Linked DNA regions of Schizosaccharomyces pombe. The gene in region 1 interacts genetically with each later gene. Each region holds a gene or a part of one and is shown in the gene's direction. Other genes may lie near its edges.

Region 1 (8,303 bases):
TATTCACATTGCTGCTGCTCTTTTGTCCGACAGTGACAGTAACGGTACTACCTTACTGCGCACCATCGTCGACAAAGCTGGTGGTGATGGTCAAAAGTTTGAGCGAAGTGTTACTAGTCGGTTAGTTCGCTTGCCTGCTCAGGATCCACCTCCAGAACAAGTGACTCTGTCACCTGAAAGTGCGAAACTGCTGCGAAATGCTCATGAACTTCAAAAAACACAAAAAGATTCTTACATTGCTCAAGATCATTTTATCGCTGTGTTCACTAAAGACGACACGCTAAAGAGTTTATTGGCAGAAGCCGGTGTCACCCCGAAAGCGTTTGAATTTGCTGTAAATAACGTCCGTGGTAATAAAAGAATCGATTCAAAGAATGCCGAGGAAGGATTTGATGCACTAAATAAATTTACTGTTGATCTTACAGAGCTCGCTAGAAATGGTCAACTGGATCCAGTTATCGGACGTGAAGATGAAATTCGTCGTACAATTCGCGTACTTTCTAGAAGAACGAAAAATAATCCAGTTCTTATTGGTGAGCCTGGTGTAGGTAAGACCTCCATTGCTGAAGGACTTGCTCGTCGTATAATTGACGATGATGTCCCCGCTAATCTTTCGAATTGTAAGCTTCTCAGCCTGGACGTCGGAAGCTTAGTTGCCGGCTCCAAATTTCGTGGTGAATTTGAAGAGCGTATCAAATCTGTTTTAAAAGAAGTTGAAGAAAGTGAAACTCCCATTATTTTATTCGTAGATGAAATGCATCTTTTAATGGGCGCAGGTTCCGGTGGTGAAGGTGGCATGGACGCTGCCAATTTGCTGAAGCCAATGCTTGCACGTGGTAAGCTTCACTGTATTGGTGCTACTACTTTGGCTGAATACAAGAAATACATCGAAAAAGATGCTGCTTTCGAACGTAGATTCCAAATCATCTTGGTAAAAGAGCCTTCTATTGAAGATACGATTTCTATCCTTCGTGGTCTTAAAGAAAAGTATGAGGTTCATCATGGTGTTACTATCTCTGACCGTGCCTTGGTTACTGCTGCCCATCTCGCTTCCCGGTACCTAACTTCTCGTCGTCTTCCAGATTCTGCCATCGACTTGGTCGATGAAGCTGCGGCTGCAGTTCGTGTTACTCGTGAATCTCAGCCCGAAGTTCTTGATAACCTTGAGAGAAAGCTTCGACAACTCCGCGTTGAAATTCGTGCTTTAGAGCGTGAGAAGGACGAAGCTTCCAAAGAACGTCTCAAGGCTGCTCGTAAAGAGGCTGAACAAGTGGAAGAAGAAACAAGACCTATTCGTGAGAAGTATGAATTAGAAAAGTCTCGTGGAAGTGAACTTCAAGATGCTAAGCGTCGTCTTGATGAGTTGAAGGCTAAGGCTGAGGATGCCGAGCGTCGTAATGATTTCACTCTTGCTGCTGATTTGAAATACTATGGTATTCCTGATTTGCAAAAACGTATTGAATATTTAGAGCAACAAAAAAGAAAGGCTGATGCAGAAGCGATTGCAAACGCTCAACCAGGCTCAGAACCTTTACTTATTGACGTAGTTGGGCCCGATCAAATCAACGAAATCGTTGCAAGGTGGACTGGTATTCCGGTTACTCGTTTGAAGACAACTGAAAAGGAACGACTCCTTAACATGGAGAAGGTTCTCAGTAAACAAGTAATTGGTCAAAATGAAGCAGTTACTGCAGTTGCAAACGCCATTCGCTTATCTCGTGCTGGTCTTTCTGATCCTAATCAACCAATCGCATCTTTCTTGTTTTGCGGTCCTTCCGGTACTGGTAAGACTTTATTGACAAAGGCATTGGCATCATTTATGTTTGATGATGAAAATGCAATGATTCGTATTGACATGTCTGAATACATGGAAAAACACTCTGTTTCACGTCTCATTGGAGCACCACCCGGTTATGTTGGACATGAAGCTGGTGGACAGCTTACTGAACAACTTCGTCGACGACCTTACTCCGTCATCTTGTTTGACGAGATTGAAAAGGCTGCTCCAGAAGTATTGACTGTACTTTTGCAGGTACTAGATGATGGACGTATCACTAGTGGCCAAGGCCAGGTTGTTGATGCCAAGAATGCTGTTATCATTATGACTTCTAACTTGGGCGCTGAATACTTGACAACAGACAATGAGTCTGATGATGGAAAGATAGATAGTACCACTCGGGAAATGGTTATGAACTCGATTCGTGGCTTCTTCCGTCCCGAATTTTTGAATCGTATCTCTTCAATCGTTATCTTTAATCGTCTGCGTCGTGTGGATATCCGCAATATTGTCGAAAATCGTATATTAGAGGTTCAGAAACGGCTTCAATCCAATCATCGCTCAATTAAAATCGAGGTTAGCGACGAAGCTAAAGACCTTCTTGGAAGCGCTGGTTATTCCCCTGCTTATGGTGCAAGACCTTTGAACCGTGTCATTCAAAATCAAGTTTTGAATCCCATGGCTGTCTTAATTTTGAATGGCCAGCTTCGCGATAAGGAGACTGCTCATGTCGTAGTCCAAAATGGCAAGATATTTGTCAAACCAAATCATGAAGCTAATGCAAACGGCTCTGCTGATATTGACATGGATGGTATTGACGACGATGTTAATGATGAAGAATTGGAATAAATGTATTTCAAATGAGAAAGTTCTAACGATACTTTATGATATAGTTTAATGATATGCTTAATCTTAATATATTTTATTTATTTATAAAAATATAGTATATAAACTTTTTAGGAAGTACTGTTTTCTCATTAAAATGTTCAATGAACTTTATCGAATAGATAGAATCAATTTAACAAAAGCTAAGTACATCGTTTTTAGTTATTAGCAATTCAAGTATGATGAAACATTGAATCTTAAATTTATCAAATAATCCATTGTTATTTACGAAAAACCTCCATTTATTTTAGTAGGTATTAATTAATGCAGTCCATTCAAGAAAGTCGAGCTTGTAAGAAAGTGCTCGTAATTCCTTATAAAATCAAAGCAGAATTAGCTCTCATACTTTTAGTAGATTTTAAATTGAATTTACATGATTAACTTTAACATTTGGTAAATCACTATCATATCATTTCATTACTTTCTACACTTGCGCATTGCATACTAATACGCATTCCAGTTCTCATGGTTCAAAGCAACGTTTAAATTAACAAGTTGTATAGTTAAACTTATACAGTGCTTTGCTTCTAATAGCCATTATTACCAGGAAATAACGAGATCACAGTTGCCCGCATACCATTAAGCTAACGAAACTTTACTGCACTAAACAAGAGACTAGCTTTTCGTAATTGTAATAAGACTTATCGAAAAGTTGAACCAGAGATCTTCAGTTCAGTAGATCATTGCCTTTCTCAAACGAAGCTTTAATTTATACTTCCTTAAAAATAATTGATTAGTCATATTTTCATGTTATACAAACTCTGTCATGGCTTCCAATCCGCTAGATAATAATATGCCGACGACTCCCGTTGAGGAAAAAATTCCAGTCGCTAGTTATTCTCCTAGCTCTTCTGGTAGTAGTTCCGGTGCTAGTTTACTAGTAGATATTATGTGCGGCAGTAAAGAAACTGAGGATGAAGAGGTTGATTCTGATGAATGGGATAAACCAGGTATGAATATCAACTATTAACTCCAATACCTTCAAGGGTACGCGCAAGTCTATTTGAATTTACAAAATTTACAATTGATCAACGATTTTGAGTTCAGGTTAGCTATGTGCTTTTCATATACTTTAGTTTATTTTAATTATTTAAAAAGTTAACGATTCCTTAGAAACAGAAAACATAAGTGATTTGGATGAACGATCCGAAATGGTCAGATATTTAAGGGCTTCAGGTAAGGAGTTACTTAATTTACATTTTAACTAGTATTTGTAGGCTATGCGAAATTCTTGGAGAAATATTTAATAGAAGAAGAGTTGCCTGTACGATCGATTTTAAAAAAACTTGGAATCAATTTGGTATGCTTACTGATTTATAACTTGCATTACATTAAATTAGCAGATTATTTTTGTTAAATTGCAATAATAATTTGGTCTACTGCATGTTTTGTTTTCTTATGACTTTACCTAGATTTATTAACGTAAATAGCCTAGTGCACTTGAAGAGTTTGAAGACATAGAGTATGCTTTTCTTTAACTTCCTTCTTATCTTTTTATCTTTTATTTTTTAAAATATCTGCTATCGATATACTAACGTGCTAATTAGTTTACTTCCTTTGCTGAAGGAAGTTTTAAAACGTGAGGTTGCTAGGAGAATCAAACTTCCACATTTTAATACCTTTGAAGATGTTGTTAATTTATTGAAAAAAGCTAAAAATGTTGTCGTCCTTGTTGGGGCAGGCATAAGTACAAGTTTGGGAATTTTAGATTTCCGTTCAGACAATGGTTTTTATGCCCGTTTGGCACGCCATGGATTATCGGAACCTTCTGAAATGTTTGATATCCATACGTTTAGAGAAAATCCAGAAATTTTTTATACTTTTGCTAGAGATCTTTTGCCGGAGACGAATCATTATTCCCCCTCGCATGCCTTCATTAGATTGCTTGAAAAGAAGAATAAATTATCAACATTGTTTACCCAAAATATAGACAATTTGGAAAAAAAGACTGGACTCTCCGATAACAAAATTATTCAATGTCATGGTAAGTATTTATTTTCCGATTTGCATCTCGAGCACTGGTGATTTTGTCTAATTTGATTATATAGGGTCTTTTGCTACCGCAACTTGTATCAAATGCAAGCACAAGGTGGATGGATCGGAGTTATATGAAGACATAAGAAATCAAAGAGTTTCTTACTGCAATGAATGCGGAAAACCACCCTTAAAATTAAGAAGAGTCGGTCAAAATAAAAAAGAGAAACATTATTTTTCAGATGGTGATAGTGAATCTTCTGAAGATGATCTAGCTCAACCTGGGATTATGAAACCTGATATCACATTTTTTGGGGAAGCCTTACCGGATTCTTTCTTTAACAAAGTCGGGAGTGGTGAGCTTGAAGAGACTGATTTATTAATTTGTATTGGAACTTCTTTAAAAGTGGCTCCTGTTTCAGAACTCATCAGTGTTATTCCTCCTACTACTCCTCAGATTTACATTTCGAGGACTCCTGTTCGTCATACCCAATTCGATGTAAATTTTCTAAGTCCTTATTGTGATTGGGTTATTGTGGAGATTTGTAAACGTGCTGGATGGCTGAATGAATTACAAGCGCTTTGCGATTTACCTGAGTGTCATAGTGGTTCCAAAACGCGAGCTTTCGAAACGGATTTGGATATAAAATTTGAGGAGCCCAGCACCTATCATATCACGAGCACAACAAACGGTAGTTGTTAATTTTAGGACTGATCGATCTATCGAAGTTGAATGTAGAAGCAAATATATTATATACATATATCGAGTATGAGAGCCAGATTATTGGACATTAACTTATTATCCGTTTGAGACTTCTTAGTTTTGTAAGTGCCATTGTTAAAAACTGTTTTTTCTCTTCGCACCTAATGTTTAAATCTGCTAAACTGGGTGAAAACACATTAAAACAAGTTATAATACATTTTACAATACCAAGGACTGTGTAATTAGTAAATGAACATTGAAGCAAATTACATTCATAGGCTATGCAAAATTAGCTACTTTTTTAAGCATAGTAAATCAGTGAAAATGACACAATTATTATTTAAAATTGAAAGATTGATTGGTACATATCAATACAACCAATGAAGCATCTAATTGTACGATACTAAAGAGAAACAACTGAAAACGGACAATTAGAAATTGGTCAACGATATTGACACTCAAACTCAAAAGAAGAAAACAGATTTAATGAAGAATATAAAATGCACGGATCATCGAAAAAGCCACCAAATCAAGCCCATTTACCTAACAAAGCCATAACTCCAGTACCAGCCATCGAGCATGCCAAAAGGTAAATAAGCTTATACCAGTTACGTTCTCTTTCAGGACTAAATAAGAAATCGTGTGCAAGTAATTCCACTAAACCAGCATAAACCAAAATTCCAGATGAGATAGCATCCAAAACACCTTGGGCAGCATAAGACCCATGAGCAAGAGGATCCCAATGCTCACGAACACCTAAACCAGCTGCCATACCAATAGGCGTAACCAACGAATAGATAACGCCCAACACCCAAGGTACCCATGCAGTTTTTGGGCCCCAGGCCATTCCCGCCAAACGAGAACCTAAACCACAACCTTCAAAGGCCTGATGGAAAATAATGACGGGAAATAAAGTTTTAAATTCTTCACCTGAGACGGCAGTTGTAAGACCGATAATAACACTATGCAAAATGATACTAGATTCAAGAATTATAAAGGCAGTAAGTTGTTGCTTTAGTAAGAAACTACGAGCTTCTTCTTTAGTAGTCAAATCGGTACTATCAGTATTCGTATAAGGTTCTAGTTTTACTTCTTCCAAGTCATCCTTTACACATTCATGCTCAACACCATCGGCACATTCTTCAATATCATAAACTGGATGTTCATGAACACCGTGAGCACCGTCTTCGTGACTATGACTGTGTTGTTTGGCACCAAGAGTTGGACCATGATGATCGCCGATTTCCATACCGAACCGCCATTCCACATAGCGATTCAAAAGGACCTCCAACAAGAGAATAAACCAACAAGAAATAAGACAAATACCTGGAGCCCAATCGTAACCTCCGAAAAGGTCGTCAAGACAAGGATCGTAAAGCTTGTTACAAGCAGGGGCTAACAAGTGAATAAAAGCAGTAGCCAAAATAACACCAGAACCAAAATAACGAGCGAATAGATAGAGATATTCAATATAAACGTTGGGTCTGTTTTTGGTGATTTTAGAAAGGACCAAAGGTAAGTTCATGCCAATTAATGAAGTAGCCAAGATAACAAAGATGGCACCAATACGATATCCCAGATGACCATATTCGTTGAATTCATTGGCATCACCTCCACAAGTCACAGTAGCAGAGCTATCATCGTCTCTTTTTACCAATGGACTATATTGCTTATTAAGAAAAAGATGTCTCAATATTTGGTGAGATTCTTGAGCAAGATATTGATTATATGAGTTAGATAAATTGTTTAAAGACATTTTAATGTACGAGAAAGATACAAGATATAACTCAACAGGGCAAAGTTTGTTTTCAACGAAAAACGTTAAAGAGAGTGAAAATGGAATAGAAATTTTTTAACAACCTCCGAGCTGAGCAGAACGAGTTAAAGGGAGCAATAAACTGAGAGGATAATAGTTTAATTAAGCAACGAGGAAATACCAAACGAAACCTGAAATCCAAAACCAAAAAAAATTAAAAAAAAAAATAACAAATGAGAAAGCGGGGAGTTGATTGAACGAACAATAATTAAGGGAAAAGCAAAATACGCGATAGGCGCACAGGAGGAAGACAAAAAGGGAATAGGTTGAAGTTGCAAAGAAAGATCTCCAAATAATCGATATTTTCTACCACAAAACAATAGCAAAATACCTTAGGAATCCAAAGTGGTTTAAAAAAACAAAACCAATACAAAAAATGAGTGATAAGATCTACAACCAAAAAAAAAAAGCGATCGTCCTTTTGGTTTTTTGGCTGATTGTATTCACTTAGTATTAGCAACGTAAGAGTTGAAGCAGGAGTGATCAGCAATCTCACTTGATAACGAAATCAATCAAAATAATCGTAAAACTGAACTTATAAACTGCCTTATTTTCTGCCAAATCAATCGATAAAGGATTTGCAGCGTAGAATACAAGATTGATAACGTACTCTAACAAAACCTAACAGAATACAAACAAAATACTCGGATCGTGGCTGGAATGAAAGGATCTGCTTTCTTTATATAAAGCCTTGGACTGTTTTTTTGACTGTCATTCTAATGATGTGCGAATCGACGTACAAGGGATAGCAACGACAGGTAACATGGTAATTTTGCACAGGAAAATTTGTACAGATCACCACGTATATCACTTGAAAGTCGGGATAACCAAGGTTTAAGGATCGACGCTTGAAAATAGGTAAGTAAATAAGCACCTCGAACCACCACACTAGATAGCAAACTGAATAAAAAGAAAACGACCCCAAGTGAAAGAAAATTCTTACAAACATTCAAATTAAAAAGAGAAATTTGAAGGATAGAACGAAGCAATGAATTAAGATTCGTTGAAATTCTATACTCTCAACACACACAAGTCGCATGTCCTTTTTGCATGACAACACATCACTTGACTAAATTGTAGACAGCATCTACTAAAAATAGGTAAATTTTATTTGCAGATTGACGTCGATCTGTCACAACCATCTTATT
Region 2 (5,156 bases), 2.3 Mb from region 1:
TTCTAAGCAGAACTTTGACGAATCTCTGGTATTAACGGACCCCAAAAAAAAGACAAAGATAAAAACTGCATGTTTAAAAGATGCACAATGATTACTAAACTTTGAACGAACGGTAATGGGATTATGACGATTCATGTCTTAAAAATTACATTACATCCATTTAAAAGGGGAATAAACAGCGGTCGAGATAGCTTTCTATCGTGACTGTAAACAAACGGTATAGCAATATTGTGATAAATTTGTTCAACCGTTGTCTAATACAAATCATCATGTCCGCCGTCAACACTAAAGCCTACAGAATGAAGGTACTTGCCCTTCTCACGTATATTTTTCTTCTTCTCTTCTTCATGAAGCTTCGCCAAAGGATACAGTTCTTCAGCAGGCATACGTCGCAATTGTTTGACTGCATCATACTCCTTATCCAAATCCTTTTCGAAATATTTAGCCCACGTTCAAAGAAATTTATAAAGATGCTCGAATATTTTATGTTACAAACGAAACTTACCAATTCACCTAAAAGCACGACGTTCTCGCCCCGAACAATATACACACCTCTGTCTATGTCCCCGTACATATCATCCACATAGATCCTCTCAATCGTGTATTGCAACATTAAATTTGCTACACAGTTAGTAAACTCACTTATGCGCCTATTCACGCAAACCATACCAAATTGATCAAAGGACCTTAAAATTCCAATCAGTTTTTTTCCATCTCGTAAAACAACAATCACTTTTCCTAAAAGGTAAAGTTAGATCAAGGAAAACATTGGAAAAAACACCGTACTGTCTACGTAGTCAACAAGTGACCCAGAAGTTGTGAATGGGATAATCTGTGTAGCTTGATTCATTCAGCTATTATTTGGATGTAGCATAAACTAATAATTTAATTTAGATTTAACTTTCTATTTCTTTTATAAACGCCTGATGACTTTATTTGAGTGTTTTCCTTAAAAAACGAGTTCGAGGAGATGGTTAGAAGCAAGTGCTCTGAGGTCGTCAAATCTGGAATCCTAAATTCTCCCTGTTTAACCCTAAAAGTGCTTCTGAAGTTTAAATGTTATTCGTTTGTTATGTTTTTTTGCTAATTGTAAATTAAATTATTTGGTTTTTCCATTTCTAAACTTGCCCATCATTGAATGTTGTAATCTGACTTTCTAGTTATAAAGGGAAGTCGGTCTTCACAAAAATTAAAGAACAAAAACATGTATATTTTTGATCACAGATTGTAAAAAGGGAATCTAATTATACTCAAGCTACCTAACAATTTTTCAGCATCATAAGCGGATTAGTTCATTGAAAGGCTCAACATTTTGCGAAGAACAGAAATAAATAATTTGATGATTTTTATCAATTCCAAAATCGAACTTGTAAAAATGTTGCCAATCCCATTTGTAATATCCCTATTCTGAGCTATTTCGACTGAGAAGAGATTGCCTATTATTCTCTTAGAACGTTCATTGAACGTTTTTGGAGTGTTCTGAAAAAAGATAATAAATTTAGTTGTTTTTATCTATTAATTACAATCAAAAATCGAGCCTTTAATAATGTATTGTATGGTTATCAAAAAGCTTTATTTATTTCTAACAACGCTAAAAAACTTTTTTTTTTACTCATTTAATATAAACAAAACAGTACAACTATTTAGTTTTAAGAAATTTGATAGCATTTCTACAAATGTTTCAACTCTAAGGCTCTCTCGGATTCTGCTCATAACGCACAGATAGTGTTTAGTGAAAATTGACAGAAATAGGCGACTCAGTGAATTTATTATACATTAATTAGCTAAAAAGAAGCAACCGCCTTTCTCTGTGATTATCGTTTGGTGACCATAGGATGATATTTGGATTGGATTTATAAAAGACTTGTATACAGCGTTTGTAAAAGATCTAGCGGCTGGAAAATCAATATGAATCAAGATAAATCGAAAGAAACTTCCGAATTGGATGATCTGGCGCTTCCTCGATCGATCATTATGCGATTAGTCAAAGGTGTCTTACCTGAAAAGAGTCTTGTACAAAAAGAAGCTCTCAAGGCTATGATCAATTCAGCAACTCTTTTTGTTAGTTTTCTAACATCCGCGTATGTAATCTATATAACTATATAACCATATTGAAGGGCTTGTATGATGAAAGAATTTATTATATAATTGCCAATTTTATTTTCTTCTGGAAACACTTTGTATATGAATGAATAAAGACTAACGTTACTTAGTTCTGGGGAAATTGCTACGAATAATAACAGAAAAATTCTTATGCCTCAAGACGTTTTGAATGCGCTCGATGAAATTGAGTATCCAGAATTCTCTAAAACGTTAAAAAAACATCTCGAAGGTATGTTTCTTACTCTGTACTTCTTCTAACTATTAAAGCATATGAGCTTGCCTTGAAAGAAAAACGATTGAAACTCCCTAACGTATCAGATGTTGATAACAGAAAGAAAGCCAAAATAGACGCGCATGACACTACTCCTCTAGATGAAGAAAAAGACGAATTAGAAGAAGAACGAATTGCGGAGGATATAGCACAAAATGAAGTTGAGCAAAATATTGATGATGTGGAGGACCTCGAAGAAGTGAATGATACATTAGACGCAAACGCAGAATCTCCTCAAATAGAAACCATTCATCTTACAGATGCTACGGGAAACCCAATTGAAGATAGCTCTGAATCCGACTCAGAAGAATCTCTTCAACTTAATGATTCTTCGTAATTACTGTTGGTTAAATGTATATGAAGATTGTCAATAGTCCTAACTTACATGGAGAGCTAATCATATTTTTTTACACGAAAAACTAAACCTTCTTTATTTTTTAATGGATTTTTTGGATACCTGTTAATACCCCAATTTACATCCTTGTATCCAAACATAGCTTTTTTAAACAGCAGTTTGAGATAATGTCTTTCTAGCACAACATGTATACTCGTTTAATGACATATATTTAGAAAGAATCATTAGATTGTTTACAGTTGTAACTCAATATTAGTCAATCTAGAATTTTTTTGAAAATCAACATTCAATAGGGAGAAGGTCGAAAAGAAAAGAAAAAGTTCATTCTCGAATTAAACAAATGCATTTTATTTTCCATCAGATTAACTTATGTCAACAATTGTAAATTCAAAAGTCTGTCGCCTTTACCTTCGCACACTTTCTCTACGTAAAAATTATAAGAATGCGAATTCTAAGTTGGAATGTGAACGGTATACAGAATCCATTCAATTATTTTCCATGGAATAAAAAAAATTCCTACAAAGAGATATTTCAAGAGTTACAGGCTGATGTAATATGTGTTCAAGAATTGAAAATGCAGAAAGACAGCTTTCCTCAACAATATGCAGTTGTTGAGGGATTCGACAGTTATTTTACATTTCCTAAGATCAGAAAAGGCTATAGTGGGGTTGGATTTTATGTAAAAAAAGATGTTGCTATTCCAGTGAAAGCAGAAGAGGGAATTACTGGCATCCTGCCAGTACGAGGACAAAAATATTCATATTCAGAAGCACCGGAGCATGAAAAGATAGGATTTTTCCCAAAAGACATTGACAGAAAAACTGCTAATTGGATTGATAGTGAAGGAAGGTGTATATTATTAGATTTTCAGATGTTCATCCTAATCGGTGTTTACTGTCCAGTAAACTCTGGAGAAAATAGACTAGAATATCGACGGGCCTTTTATAAAGCCTTACGAGAAAGAATTGAAAGATTGATAAAGGAAGGAAATCGAAAAATCATTCTCGTTGGGGATGTGAATATTTTGTGTAATCCTATTGACACTGCTGATCAAAAAGACATTATTCGAGAGAGTCTTATTCCAAGCATCATGGAATCAAGACAATGGATACGTGATTTATTACTACCAAGCAGGTTGGGACTACTGTTGGACATTGGCCGTATTCAACATCCTACTCGGAAAGGAATGTTTACATGTTGGAATACAAGACTTAATACAAGGCCCACAAATTATGGTAAGTTCTGAATTGTTATTTTTTTTACAATGGATAGGTACGAGAATTGATTACACTTTGGCAACACCCGATTTATTACCTTGGGTTCAAGATGCAGATATTATGGCTGAGGTCATGGGTTCAGATCATTGCCCCGTATATTTAGATTTAAAAGAAGAATATGAAGGAAAAAAGTTGTCCAACTTTCTAAGTCACTCAAAAGAACCACCTTTACTATCAACGGCGCATCATTCAGCCTATCGGCCATCAAAAAATATTCATTCAATGTTCCAACATTTCAATTCGATGAAAAAGAATAAAAACAACTCACCCACTCAGAGCGAAAACGTATCTGCTTCTGCGTCCAGCGGCTCCTCACCAACTGTTTCTCGTGCAAACTCTGTCATAGACGTCGATGCCTACCCACCGGAAAAGAGAAGACGAAAAGAACAATCGAAGCTTCTTTCATTTTTTGCGAAGCAAAAGGAAGAGAAAGAAGAAACCAATAAAACAGAAGACGTTTCGATTGAGGTCCTTGATAACAATAATGAATCTGACATAGGGTTGACAGTAAAAAAAAAAGTAGAAAACGGGAACGCCTGGAAGCAAATATTCAGTGAACGAGCTCCTCCACTTTGTGAGGGTCACAAGGAACCTTGCAAGTATTTGACAGTGAGGAAGCCGGGAATCAATTACGGGCGGAAGTTTTGGATTTGTGCCAGACCGGTTGGTGAACTGATTAAAAACTCAAATGCAGTTTCTGAGGAAGATACTCAACCGTTCCAATGCAGGTTCTTTATCTGGGACTCAGATTGGAGAGCAAATTCAAAGGACTGAAAATTTGTAATGACTAGCATAACTTGCTCTTAATCAATTCTCAATTTTGATGTGTATAAACCGCAAAAAGCATTGAGCAGTGCATCACACATCTTTCATTAACATTCTTAATATGTATATACGGAATTTTGTACGGTTAAGATTTCTTTTTTTGAGATCCGAGCATCATTTCCAAACATATAACTTTGTTTGGATGTACTTTTCTTCTGCACACCGGACATTTTTGTGTGGCAGCCGTTGTACCTAAAGCACTTAGTATACAAAAATTGCAAAATATATGCCCACAGGGAGTACAAGATAGGTTTTCCGGACTATCCAGACAAATTACACACTTATAATCAGCTAGTCGTTGTGAAGATGGAACAACCTGTTTTTT

The links. Genes that interact genetically often act in the same process or in processes that back each other up.
Region 2: of sir2 (region 1) and dpb4, changing one enhances a phenotype caused by changing the other (phenotypic enhancement), as found in Schizosaccharomyces pombe (one study listed by BioGRID).

The regions. Positions count from the first base shown.
Region 1 is NC_003423.3:3,606,682-3,614,984, reverse strand, and holds sir2 (histone deacetylase, Sirtuin family, NAD-dependent Sir2), read left to right. Parts: upstream 1-3,298; 5' UTR 3,299-3,428; coding exon 3,429-3,612; exon of another isoform or gene 3,613-3,775; coding exon 3,776-3,838; exon of another isoform or gene 3,839-3,875; intron 3,876-3,879; coding exon 3,880-3,962; intron 3,963-4,092; coding exon 4,093-4,124; exon of another isoform or gene 4,125-4,209; coding exon 4,210-4,646; exon of another isoform or gene 4,647-4,710; coding exon 4,711-5,339; 3' UTR 5,340-5,768; downstream 5,769-8,303. Other genes in the region: heat shock protein Hsp104, read left to right, coding at 1-2,626; plasma membrane ZIP zinc transmembrane transporter Zrt1, read right to left, coding at 5,869-7,095. UniProt on the Schizosaccharomyces pombe protein: Involved in silencing within the mating-type region, at the telomeres, and according to PubMed:12867036 also within centromeric DNA regions.
Region 2 is NC_003423.3:1,284,235-1,289,390, forward strand, and holds dpb4 (DNA polymerase epsilon subunit Dpb4), read left to right. Parts: upstream 1-1,711; 5' UTR 1,712-1,908; coding exon 1,909-2,081; exon of another isoform or gene 2,082-2,213; coding exon 2,214-2,332; intron 2,333-2,370; coding exon 2,371-2,711; 3' UTR 2,712-2,887; downstream 2,888-5,156. Other genes in the region: pig-A family phosphatidylinositol N-acetylglucosaminyltransferase subunit Gpi3, read left to right, coding at 1-91; mRNA-decapping complex subunit Lsm1, read right to left, coding at 255-428, 506-621, 670-738, 787-850; AP-endonuclease Apn2, read left to right, coding at 3,172-3,964, 4,002-4,780; SUMO-targeted ubiquitin-protein ligase E3 Slx8, read right to left, coding at 4,917-5,156.